2 linked regions of the Drosophila melanogaster genome follow. The protein of the gene in region 2 purifies or fractionates together with the protein of the main gene of each other region. This does not show direct contact. Each region holds a gene or a part of one and is shown on either strand. Other genes may lie near its edges.

What was found. Proteins that work in one complex are often made in the same cells at the same time.
Region 1: the proteins of CG11060 (region 2) and PH4alphaEFB purify together in Drosophila melanogaster (affinity purification with mass spectrometry, with the first as the bait; one large-scale study listed by BioGRID). This does not show direct contact.

Annotation. Positions count from the first base shown.
Region 1 is NT_033777.3:30,463,845-30,469,450, reverse strand, and holds the start of PH4alphaEFB (prolyl-4-hydroxylase-alpha EFB), read right to left. Parts: upstream 3,402-5,606; 5' UTR 3,077-3,401; intron 1-3,076. Other genes in the region: CDase (ceramidase), read right to left, coding at 3,890-4,073, 4,134-4,744, 5,170-5,606.
Region 2 is NT_033778.4:7,173,746-7,179,279, reverse strand, and holds CG11060 (uncharacterized protein), read right to left. Parts: upstream 3,395-5,534; 5' UTR 3,285-3,394; coding exon 2,178-3,284; intron 2,085-2,177; coding exon 1,071-2,084; 3' UTR 990-1,070; downstream 1-989. Other genes in the region: CG33140 (uncharacterized protein), read right to left, coding at 1-782.

The DNA.
Region 1 (5,606 bases), on a different chromosome or scaffold from region 2:
TTCTACCTCTTCTTTGAATGTCTTTTCGAAACTAGTTTTCTTGTTTTAAAATAGCCAGAATTAAACTTGAATCGATTTTGGGTGGAGCTACTTTGCTTATAAATGAATTGTGTCTTTATAATTGATGCTATATTATAAAGAGGTTAATTAAAAGCGTATTAATTGCATGATTTGTAGAACTGGCAAATAATAAAGAGATATGACTAAATAATTAGGAGTTTTGCAAGTTAAGTTATTCAAATTGAATGAAGATATTTCTGTAGTTTTTAGGTACATGGAACAACTAGTATATTTCCATGTCCATATAGAGATTTTCTCCGTGCACCTGCTCTTTGAGCCCTGGCATTTGTGAGCTGCCGACAAAAGCAAGCTCGTGAACAGTTTTGGCCACATTGTCTCTATGGGCCAGTGGCTGTTAATGTGGCACGAAGTCGCCAAACTGCTGCCACCGAAGTCTTCCATCTGCTAAATGTCAGGCCCCCCTGGACCCGCGGACTGACCTTCCCCAGGCGGAGCTCTTCTTATTTCCCATGTCTGCTATGACATTTGCCCATTCGTAATGGAATTCGGCGAGGGTACGGCTTCCTAGCCAAAAGCTTCCCTTTCCATTCAATTTGGCCAATTTGAGTGGCTCTGCTCGTCGATCGAATGCATAATTAAAATCGCATCGAATCGAACCGTCGATTTCGTCGTTGGCACTGTAATTTGACTCCGAGTTTTTCCTTAATTCAGCGACTTAATGGACTCGTTAGACGCGCCTCGCCATAACCACTTCATCATCATTATCGCCTTAAGTATCATCATCATGAGCACAAACTTTGCCCTAACCACCGAATGAGGTCTCTCCACTTTGTTGATACGATGCAAAAAAAAGTCAAAAAGACGAAAAGAAGAGTTCTTTGTGGAAAAATCATGGTCTCGGTCTGCCTAGTTTGTGCAAATTATGCAAACAATTTGGTTAAGTGTAATTGAGTTGGCCAGGCCAAGAGCGTGTGGCAATTTCTGTTTCAGTTTCCAGGCCACATGCTGCAATTGCTCCAAGAACTTGGATTCAAAGTCGTAGATAATGTGATTTGTCTGCCAGCAAAAGTTCCACTCGCAGGGCGTGAACTTTTCAATTCTATAAGCGTTAATTTGATTGTCACAACTTGTCGGAAAGAAAGTACCCAGCACTGGAGAAAAATGATGATGGATTATGAAAGTGTTGTAAAGAAGAGTGTGATGTAAACACGTTTGCATTCATTGCTACGCACGCTGATTATTAGCTTTGCATACTATCAGAAATATTCAGGAAATTCCAGAAAGCACTTTTGATAACGTACATATTTCGAGAAGTTCTAAATAAAATTTTGATAATTCTAACGAACAATAAGGTGTCATCTCTCGGATCGAATCCATCCCATTTAATTTCTCGCTGTGTTGGAAAAATGGCATTCGCATTAAATATTCAGTAGGCAGGAAGGAAGGACTCGGGACGCGGGAGTGATTCAAGTGCATTCAGCGAGTTTGCTAATTAGTAATGAATGACAAATGTTCGCAGCTCATCCCCAGCTGCCTTAACACCCGGCTGGCCCCCATGATTAACCCATGGCGAAGTGCTTTAATGCCAGTCAGATGCCGTCATGGAGCGTGTGCACACATAAATTTTACAATTCACCTTGAAATGTAAGCATAAAAGGCGTCCCCGATGGAAATCGCAATACCAAACCGGTTCAAAGACTTTGCTGAACATTATAAAAGCGAAAGATGAGCTGGGAAAAAGGCTGGAGCGAAATGGGCGCAAAAACCAGACAAGGAAGTGGGCCAAATAGCAGCTCCTTGTCGACATTGTCCTCACTTTCATTGCATTCCGCACATGGATGGAACTGGTGATCCACTTGGCAGCCACTTTCGTTTTCGCATCCAACTCTATTATTGCCAACCGGTCGTCATTGCCGAACTAATTAGCAAACAAATAATACTGATCAAATGGACGTAAAGGCGAAAGGCCGAAAAAGCAGGCGGGGAGCAACGAACCAGATTGCGGCTAAATTATAAATTTCATAAATTAACACACCTTGCTCGTAAGTTAATTGAAGCTATTGAATCCGATTGTATTTTCAAAAATACACGCCTAGCCATTAATCATCCAAACCAGAGTCTAATTGGTTAAGTATTTCCAATTAGACAAGAAATATCCCGCTAATAAGAGCGGCTAAATGAGGTTTGTGTCCGTGCTAAATAGGAGTCACTTCAACTGGGTTTTAATCATAGACATTTACCAGGTACATTATGTTATATATGTTATACATTTAAAAAAGGATTCTGTTATATAAAGAGTAACTTTATTACCCTTTAAAGTAATTGTATCCTCTTTACAAACAGGTTTGAAAACAGTTTAATAAACTGGTTATTTTTAAGTCACTGATTGACTACCTAATATTACTTATTCATGTAATTTGCTACTGAAATGTATAGTTAAAGGAAGAAAACAATTTGTTTCAAATCTATTGATTCCTTGCTGAACTAGGCCATCCTTTTTCGCACAGTTGGCAACGCAGTGTTTATACCCTTTGCATTGGAAGATGAAGTGCACGGGAAACGAGACCAAAACAAATGCCTACAATTGACTACGTGACTGCGGCACTTCCTTCTTTTCGCCCCCTGATCATCATTATATAAACACACCCAGACGGACGTAAAAAGTACATATACACATTGACGCCTATGCCGCACAGACTTTTTCGAGTCCAGATATTTAGAGGCTTATCGCCAGCGGAGATGGAGGAGGAGGGAGGAGCATCAGCAGTAGGAAATGGGGAATATGTGGGGGCAAAAAGCGGTCAATTGAATCGCCATGTGGTGACAACAAGTGCATATAGAATAGTATGTGAACACTCAAATCAGTTTAGTTTTTTTGTCACAGCGCAGCAGAGCATTTCTCTCTAATCAAAATCGAATATTCAATTTAGATGGCCCACATTCCCGTCATTCAAGTAAAAAGACTCGATTATTGTTATCAGTGCACGACGGATGCCGGCAGGAGGAACACGTCAGAAGTTCTAGAAAATGTATCTGTGGAATTTCTTTAATTTACCCTGTGTTTCTTATGCGAACTTGTTGCTGGATCTCAATGGATGTCAATGAAACTGGCCGCCTTCTTTGTTTACAATTCAACGAGAACACCTCGATTGCATTGCCCACCCGCACTTCGTATCTTATAGATACATTTTATGCACTCTAACTGGAAGCACACAAATCACGTTTGTTTTAGATATTTTCGTTTAGACTCGAATTTAAGGATTGTTTTCTCTGGTCCCCCGAGGAGTAAATTCCCTTTTTCACAGTTTTGACTACAAAAATATAATTTGTGTTTCTGTTTAATTCGCGTGCGCGCGCCGAGAAATACCGACTGGAACTGATTTTGTTTTGCTGCCGCCTCGAATATAGATAAATACCGACTTCCAGATCCAGAAAGAGAGAGAATTTCTGGTTTCTGTTTCGAATTTAAGAGAAGAGCACCAATTTCGAATTTCGAAGTTCAATTTAATACCACAAAAGAGAAAAAGAGTTGAAAGAGAGAAACTTGTACAGCATTGTGGATTTCATTCGAACAGCTGTTTGCGGATCGTATATGGTGGCGGGCAATTTGAATTGTAATTGGTAAAAAGGTGAAGCAATGTCAAAAGACTACTAGAACAGCCATTTCGATCAAAATTAAAAACACTTCTCCTTAGTTTCAACATAATTTGGCATCTTTTTTATTCGCGTTTGCAAAAATAAAGCTTTTCCTTCGTCACTTACAAATGGTAAATAAATACATGGATTCAGTGTTGATTTTGTTTTTGATGGGCCCTACAACTGTCTGGCCAGGAATATTTATAAAATCACTCCACACGGATATCTAATCCTAGTCCTCCTTAACGGTGAAGGAATGCGTGAGTCCCTCGTAGGGATACTTTCCGCCCAGGATGTACTTGTACTCCCCGGAATGGCGAATGCGATATTCCCCGGGAAGAGTCTGCGGACTGATGTCCCAGTAGATGTCCATTTCGCTGAAGCCCAGGATCGTATTGGTTCGGTGCCAGACCATTCTGAAAAGTAACGATTTTATTAAGTACCAACATTTATAACCTCAAGCTGGCGCTTCCTACTTGGTCTCCCAGCTGGCATCCGTATAGGCCACCTTCCAGCGATCCTCGTTGATCTTTCGCTCAATGGTGAAGTAGGTTTTCTCGGTGAAGAGGTTGTTACGCGGATTTCCGGATATGTAGGTGACCTTCACCGTCTCGTTGATGCCGTACTCCTTGTTGGGCTGCGACTTCACGTAGCCAAAGTCGGTGTTTATGGGATGTCCGTCGAAGAGAACCCCGGTGTTCAGCGATAGCATCACATCATTCATGTACGGCGGACTTGGACCCGCATCCACGGTCTCATTACGCATCATGGCCTTGGTCAGGCGTTCGAAGACGTCCATGTAAATGGAGTGGGTATGGGGACCGAAGATCGTGGAGGCGGCCTCGTAACGCTGCGCCTGGTACTCCTCCGGGGTCACCGTGTAGCTGGTGTATATGTTGGTCAGTCCGGCGATGATTACCTCGGTGTCGATGCCTCCGACGGCGGAGGCAGCTGCTCGAATCTGGTTTCGCAGACGACGTCCTGCCATTGTGGTGAACTCGCAGGGCACGGCGGCTATGATCACATCGCCGATCTTTAGTAGCTGATCCGAGACAATCTTTGGCTGCCACTCATAGGGAAAGGTGGCCTTAAATATGGATAATGTACATGTTAGATATGCTTAAAGTGCACTTAGATTTTTAAATAACAGTTGCGCATTAAGTGATGACCTATAGCCTGGCTATAACTACCTTACCTTGATTTTTATGAGCTGACAACTAATTTGCGTAACGTTTCAGTTTAATTACCCCACTTAAATGTGCATTATAAAAACAAAATCCACTACATAAATTTATGTATTCTATTCCAAAATTGGTATTTTGTTCCTTTGCACTATTAAACACATTTAAATTTATTTTCTGATGCACACAACACTCAACAAAGTTCCAAACAAATGGAATGATTTTTGTGCTGCATACCTTTAGGCAATTTCAGAAATTCTTTTAAAATCGCTATTGTTTTTTTTCAGACTTGCTTTTTAGTTAATAATAATTGATTAATGGAAAAACTCACCCTGCCGGTGGCCAGAAGAATGGGCTTGGGCTCATGGCACTTGATGTCCTCCTGCGTGGGAGCAGCGATGAAGTCGCGCACAAAGTTCCACATGGGGTTGTCCGTGGTGGTTCCCTGCTCGAAGCTGAAGGCTCCAGGTCCATCGGTGGTACCAGCAGCAAAGCTATAGCCCATGGCCGGCTGACATCCCCTGATCTTGTCGACCTTCCTGCTCAGCGGATTGTAGGTGCTGCCATTGTAGTTGGGCATGTCCACAAACTGGTGGATGAACCTCACATCTCCAGTGACCTCCCGTGCCGTGGACTCCTGGCTCTGTTCGTTGAGCAGTCCCAGAGCAGCATCCGCCAGACGTTGACCCAAGATCTGGGTGCTTTCGAACATATCCTTACCGGGTCCGGAGGCAAAGCAATCTCCCTCGCCAGTGGGACAACGGGAGG
Region 2 (5,534 bases):
GCAGTACCCTTCACCTGCAGGGCATCCACATCGGGAAAGAACTCCACAACGTTTTGGATGTCTACAAAGTTTTGCTCCAGTCGTTTGTCCAGGAACTCCGATTGCAGCCAGCCTGGTGGTGGGTCCTGCTCCATGGCCTCCTTACCCAAGATCTCCGTTTTGCAGACCTCTGGCATGCCAACGATCTCTAAATCCTTGTAGCCCACCTTTTCCGCTTTCGGTGTCGTGGCCTGCAGTCCAGGAACTACCTGGCAGGTACATGGATCCAATTGGTCGCCCAGCTTGGAAAGTGGCGCGCTCATCAGACGCTCGCCCTTCATGCGGTCCGCGTAGTCCAGCACGCGCTTCACCATTTGCCCGTCGCGGTTGTCCAGCGTGGAGCGGCGGTTGAAGAGCACCTCACTGGCCAGCTTGCCCGTTTCCCGCTGGACTCGTTCTTGCATCAACTTGCGCTGGTGAAGTACCTCCTTCCAGTATCGCAGCCGTTTGTCCACGTGCGGTTCCCGCTCCTTAATTGGCCACGGAATATTAGCCGCGTGACAAGAGGATGAGGTCTCTGGAAAGTCCCCCCGTCGCTCCTTGAAAATCTCGGTCAGAATATCCTCCACCATGCGCTCCGTGTACTTGCCCATGGGGGACTCGGCATTCAGCTGCGCCTGTGCAGTCGAACGGGTCGTCGGTTCGGTCAAAGAAGATGGCAGCGACACCATGTTGGCCAGTGTAAATTTCGAAAAGGTATCGGACCCGTTGGTTTTGAGGTTAATATCTTCCATGCCCTCCATTTTGTAACGTGGTTCAGTTTGGGGTTCGAGTTAACTTGAACAATTATAAAATATATATTGACTCGAATTGAAAAGGCTTAGTTTCAAGCTAGCTATATGACTCGTTGGTGTGGTGAATGGATTGTGATTTCAATAATTGTTAAGTCGGTACAATATGTAAGTCCAGTGTATAAGTCTAACAGCGAAAAAAAATGAAGCCCCATATCTATAATAAATGCTTTTTTATTTTATTTGGGTGTTGCCACTTAAAAAAAATATGACCAAAACTGGGAAAGGGTGTTGTGAATGCTAATCAGCGGTGCTTTCGATGACGGAGACTATGTCCTCGGCAGCATCACAGAGCAGACTGTAGGTGTGCATATAGAGAGAGTCCTTGAGGTACTTGCTTGCCTTGACTCTCTTCGAGACTTTCTCCACGATCTGAATTTCTTCGTTTTCATCTGGACCCTGCTGGCGATTCTTCTGGCCTAGCTCTGAGGCGACGGGAAGAGAAGAATTCTCCCCTAGATAGTGGAGGAGCTCCAGCTTAAAGAACTGTTCATCCAGCCCAAAAACCATTGCCTCCCACTCGTCGATTTTGCTGGCGATAGTGCCACGCACGTAAATGAAGCGGGATCTATCCCGCTCCGTATTGTGTTCCATTAAGGGATAAGCTGAGCACCTGTTGCACTTCATCGGCTGGAGCAAAGCAACCAGTTTGTTGTGGAGATTCTCGCGCAGGAAGCGACTCTCCTGCTTGCCAATAAAGTGACGCAGGGTCTCGATACTTAAATCCCAGGGTCTATCGCGAGGCTTCTTGGCCAGTTGATATAAGTCCTTGAGAGCCTCCAGATCCTCGTATCGCTGGCATCGGTAAGAGAAGTTCTGGGCATTAAAGACCTCGCGCTCGTCAAGATGTCTTTGGTAGGGACACAATGGTCGAGGGTTCTCGATAATGGGAGCCAGACTGGCCTGCATTTGCAGAAGGCCCTGGGCCTGCAATTGTTGCTGCTTATCTAGGGGCACCTGTCGGTGACCCTCGAGGCGTCTCTGGAACGGAACGGGCATGGTGCACTGACCCTGGAGAACGACGTCCAGGCGGCGGGTGCCACAGAAGGGCGATTTTTGGAAGTTCACGTGCCATCGCTGCGTGAAAAGGCCCACCTTTTTCGGCTGGAACATCACACGAATGAGGCGGCGACCCTGTGGCTCCAGGATGAACTCGCTGCGGTCGAAGACCATCTCGGAGTTCAAGGGCAGCCGGTCGGAACGCAAGCGGTTCTTACTAAGCCAATAGACGTGCACCAGCTTCGGACTTAGATTCTGCAGGAAGCCATTGTGTTAGCAAGTATGTCCTCGTACTAATATTTACTAATGTCCCCACAGAAAAGGACACGAAGATGAACCCCAGTTTACCTGAATGTCCAAAAGTATCTTCACCACGCGCTCATATGGTTCACATTGCAGCAGCATATTGATGCTTTTGCTTATGGCGCCGACAGGATTGCGGTAATCAAGGATCACCCCGTTGATCATCAGACCTTGTACGTCCTTGACGTCATCCATGTCCTGACTCTCGACAATTCCCTTTGTAATATCCTCGAGTGCCGCCTCTTGAAAGCTATCGCTTACCTCCCCCTCTATGGACAGCAGATCGGACTCCGAATCCTCCTCCTCTTCCGGAGTGGAGTTCCCGGAGATATTAGACAAGGAAGTTTCGTCGATTTTGATGATCGGCAGATTCTTAGTGGACGAGCCCACAAAGGCCGGCGTGACCTGCAGCCCATTTAGATCGGGCGCAAAGTCAAGCACCTGTCGAATAGAGTGCTTCTTGTCCTCAAGTCGTTCGCTCAAGACCTGGGAGCGCTGCCACTGGCTCTCGATCTCGTTGGAATGAAGGCGGGTGGCAGCCAGCTCCTTTTGGGTGACCTGCGGCAGGCCGACGAACTCCACCTCCTGCAACTGCGGCTTCGCGGCGTACAGCTCCTTAATCTCGCGGCAGAGATGGGGATCACAGCGCGGCTTCAGGGAGTTCAAGGTCACATTGTCCTTGAGGCGAGCAAGAGGTCGTGACCTGTCTGCGGTGTCAAGGACGCGCAGAATCATCCGCTTGTTGGCCTCGTCGATGGTCGCCGAGCGATTGAAGAGCACGTCCTCGGCCCGCTTACCCGTCTGCCGAGCGATCCTATCCTGCAGTCGCCTACGCTCCTGCAGCACGCGGTTCCAGCTGCGCAGTCGCGGGTCCATGTCCAAATCGTCGCCCGGCTTCCGATCCCTGGACCTCTCCGAGTGGCAGAACTGATCTAGGTTGCTGTCCGACTGCTTTTGCTGGAAATTCTGCATGCACAGGACCTCATTAAGAATGTCCTCCACGGTCTGGGTGGCCATGTACATATGCTCAGGCTGCTTTTCCTCTTGTTCCATATCCATGAAGTTATGTTTGTTGGAGTGCGAATCGTTGATAGTTTGATTCGAAATCTTTTTCCCCAAGGAGTTTATGACGGAGTGCTGCGTGGGCCTCATTTTTTGATGTTTTTTGGATTCGATGCGCTCGGTTTAATGTATGATACAGTTGTGTATTTAAATATATAAGGTTTTTTTTTTTTGGCAGAACACGCTTAGTACATCCTGATTTCAAGCTCCCTAGACTTAGCCTAGCCTCTCGAGAGCTTTTTTAATTTTGTCATTATTAGTTTTTCTTGTTCGAAAGGTGCACAGGTAAAAATCCATAGTTATTCCAAATAAATTGCAATTTATGAACCTTTCTGTTGTGCTAATTTGCTAACAATCCCCACTGAATAGTTCCACCAAAAAAGCTAATAGAAAAACCGGGCTCGTGTGACAAGTCATCGTAATTTTCGCCCAAGCAGTTGGCCCGGCTTTCTGGAGTTCGAATTTGAATTTCCCTCGCCATTTACCTTAAGTCCCAATGACATTGACGTGCCGCCTTCACACAATTCAAAAAGTTGCTGGAAGTTGTTGTTGATGTTGCCATTGTGACTGGCACGGCCAACAAAGAGAAAGGAGTCGCCTGGCTGTCGTATATCAACTTACCTGTAACGAGAAAAGGAGAAATATTAAATTGATTTATACACAGGTCATGTGCAACTTAAACAACAACTGAATATGAACTATTTTGTATTTATGGACGGTTCAAAGGCTCATTAATTATGTCATCTGCGGTTTGGCAGGAGGTTGGGAGTAGCTTTTCGTGGTCTGGGGTGGTATGTTTAATGTTGTGTTCAGGGATTTACCACGTCTTACCCCGTCTTCGGGAGGAGGAAGCGAAATGAGGTTTCTCGGCTGGCGGCTTTCCATTCCAGAAACAAACTTTCCGCTCAACAAAAGGGCGAAACACAGAAACAGCCGAGCGAAACAAAGCCATATCAATTACCCTGGCAACGAACCGTACAGGAGTATAAAGTAATTTGGCCCGAACCGCTAAGGGAGGGATCCTGGCCAGAACAAAGGCCACCAGACCGCAGAAAAGGAAGCCGAGTAGGGACTGATAGTGGAAGAGGCAGTGGGTGGGGGGCTGGAGCTGCGGAAATGCACTGCATTGTTGGCAATTTCAATACTCATCATTATTATGGCGGCTGGAAGCCCTGGAGTGCATGTGTTCCGTCTACGTGCCGGCGAAATGCAATCAACATATTGTAATTCAGAAATGCATATTGAGAACGTGCAAAAGATACTCGTACTTGCAACAATGCCGTGCTGCCGCTGCTGCTGCTGCTTGTTCTACTGCTGCATTTGCACTTAACGGCCCGGCGGAGGAAAACAAAACGAAGCCATGCCGAAACGGGGGACATTGTTGCTGCCGCCTCAAGTGGATCCAGCAAAAAAATCTGGCAGCGCTTGCATTTTGATTTCCCATCTCGCATTCTCCCGAGCAACGCATTTATTATTTACCAGCCAGCCAGCAACAGGCAGCAAACAGTAAACAGCGAGCTGCAACAGCAACAGCAACTCAATTCCGCAGACTCATGCTGCAGTTGTCAACGACTGCGACGGAGGCACTATTGCCCCCACTATCCCACTGCTCCTCCTTCCGCGCTGCCGCATGTTGCATACCTCTTGGTGTTGACAGTGAGACAACAGCAGCAACTCGAGACGCAGACGCCAACTGTGGCGCTCGTTGAGTGAAGTTGGACGGACAGGCGCGCAGACGGACAGACGGACGGACAGTCGAACGGACGGATGGACGGATGGACATACGGACAGAGATCGCGAGGCAGGCGGATTGGCAGACAAATAAGTCCGGACAATCTTCTTGTGCGCTATCAATGCAAAAACTTTCGTGTAAGCAAGCTCAAGGAATCCGCTGGAAAGCAAGTAAATAGAATTTCTTGTCGTCCTAAAGATAGAAATAATAGTAGCTTCGTTACAGCGGTGACATAAATGATTGCTGAACATCACCTATCTTTACTTTAACTTTTTAAAAGCAAGATATATTTGAATATAATGTTTTAGCTCAAGCTAACATTGTAAAAAGCCAACTAATAATATCAAATCTTAAAGGAACCTATCATGGTACATATATGTAGCACTTTAATGCGCATATTTTTGCCATCATCAATTAAGAATTTTAAATTTGGGCATACAAGAAGAAGTTAATCTGCGTGTTAAGCAGCAACTGAACCGATAAAAATACTGTATAAAAAATACATTTGATTCGACTTGCATGCGTTCAGTAAGCTAATACTCCCTTGGCAAAGAAAAAACTAGGGTATTAAAAGTCTTAAAACTAATTTATATGCATTCGGTTAGTTT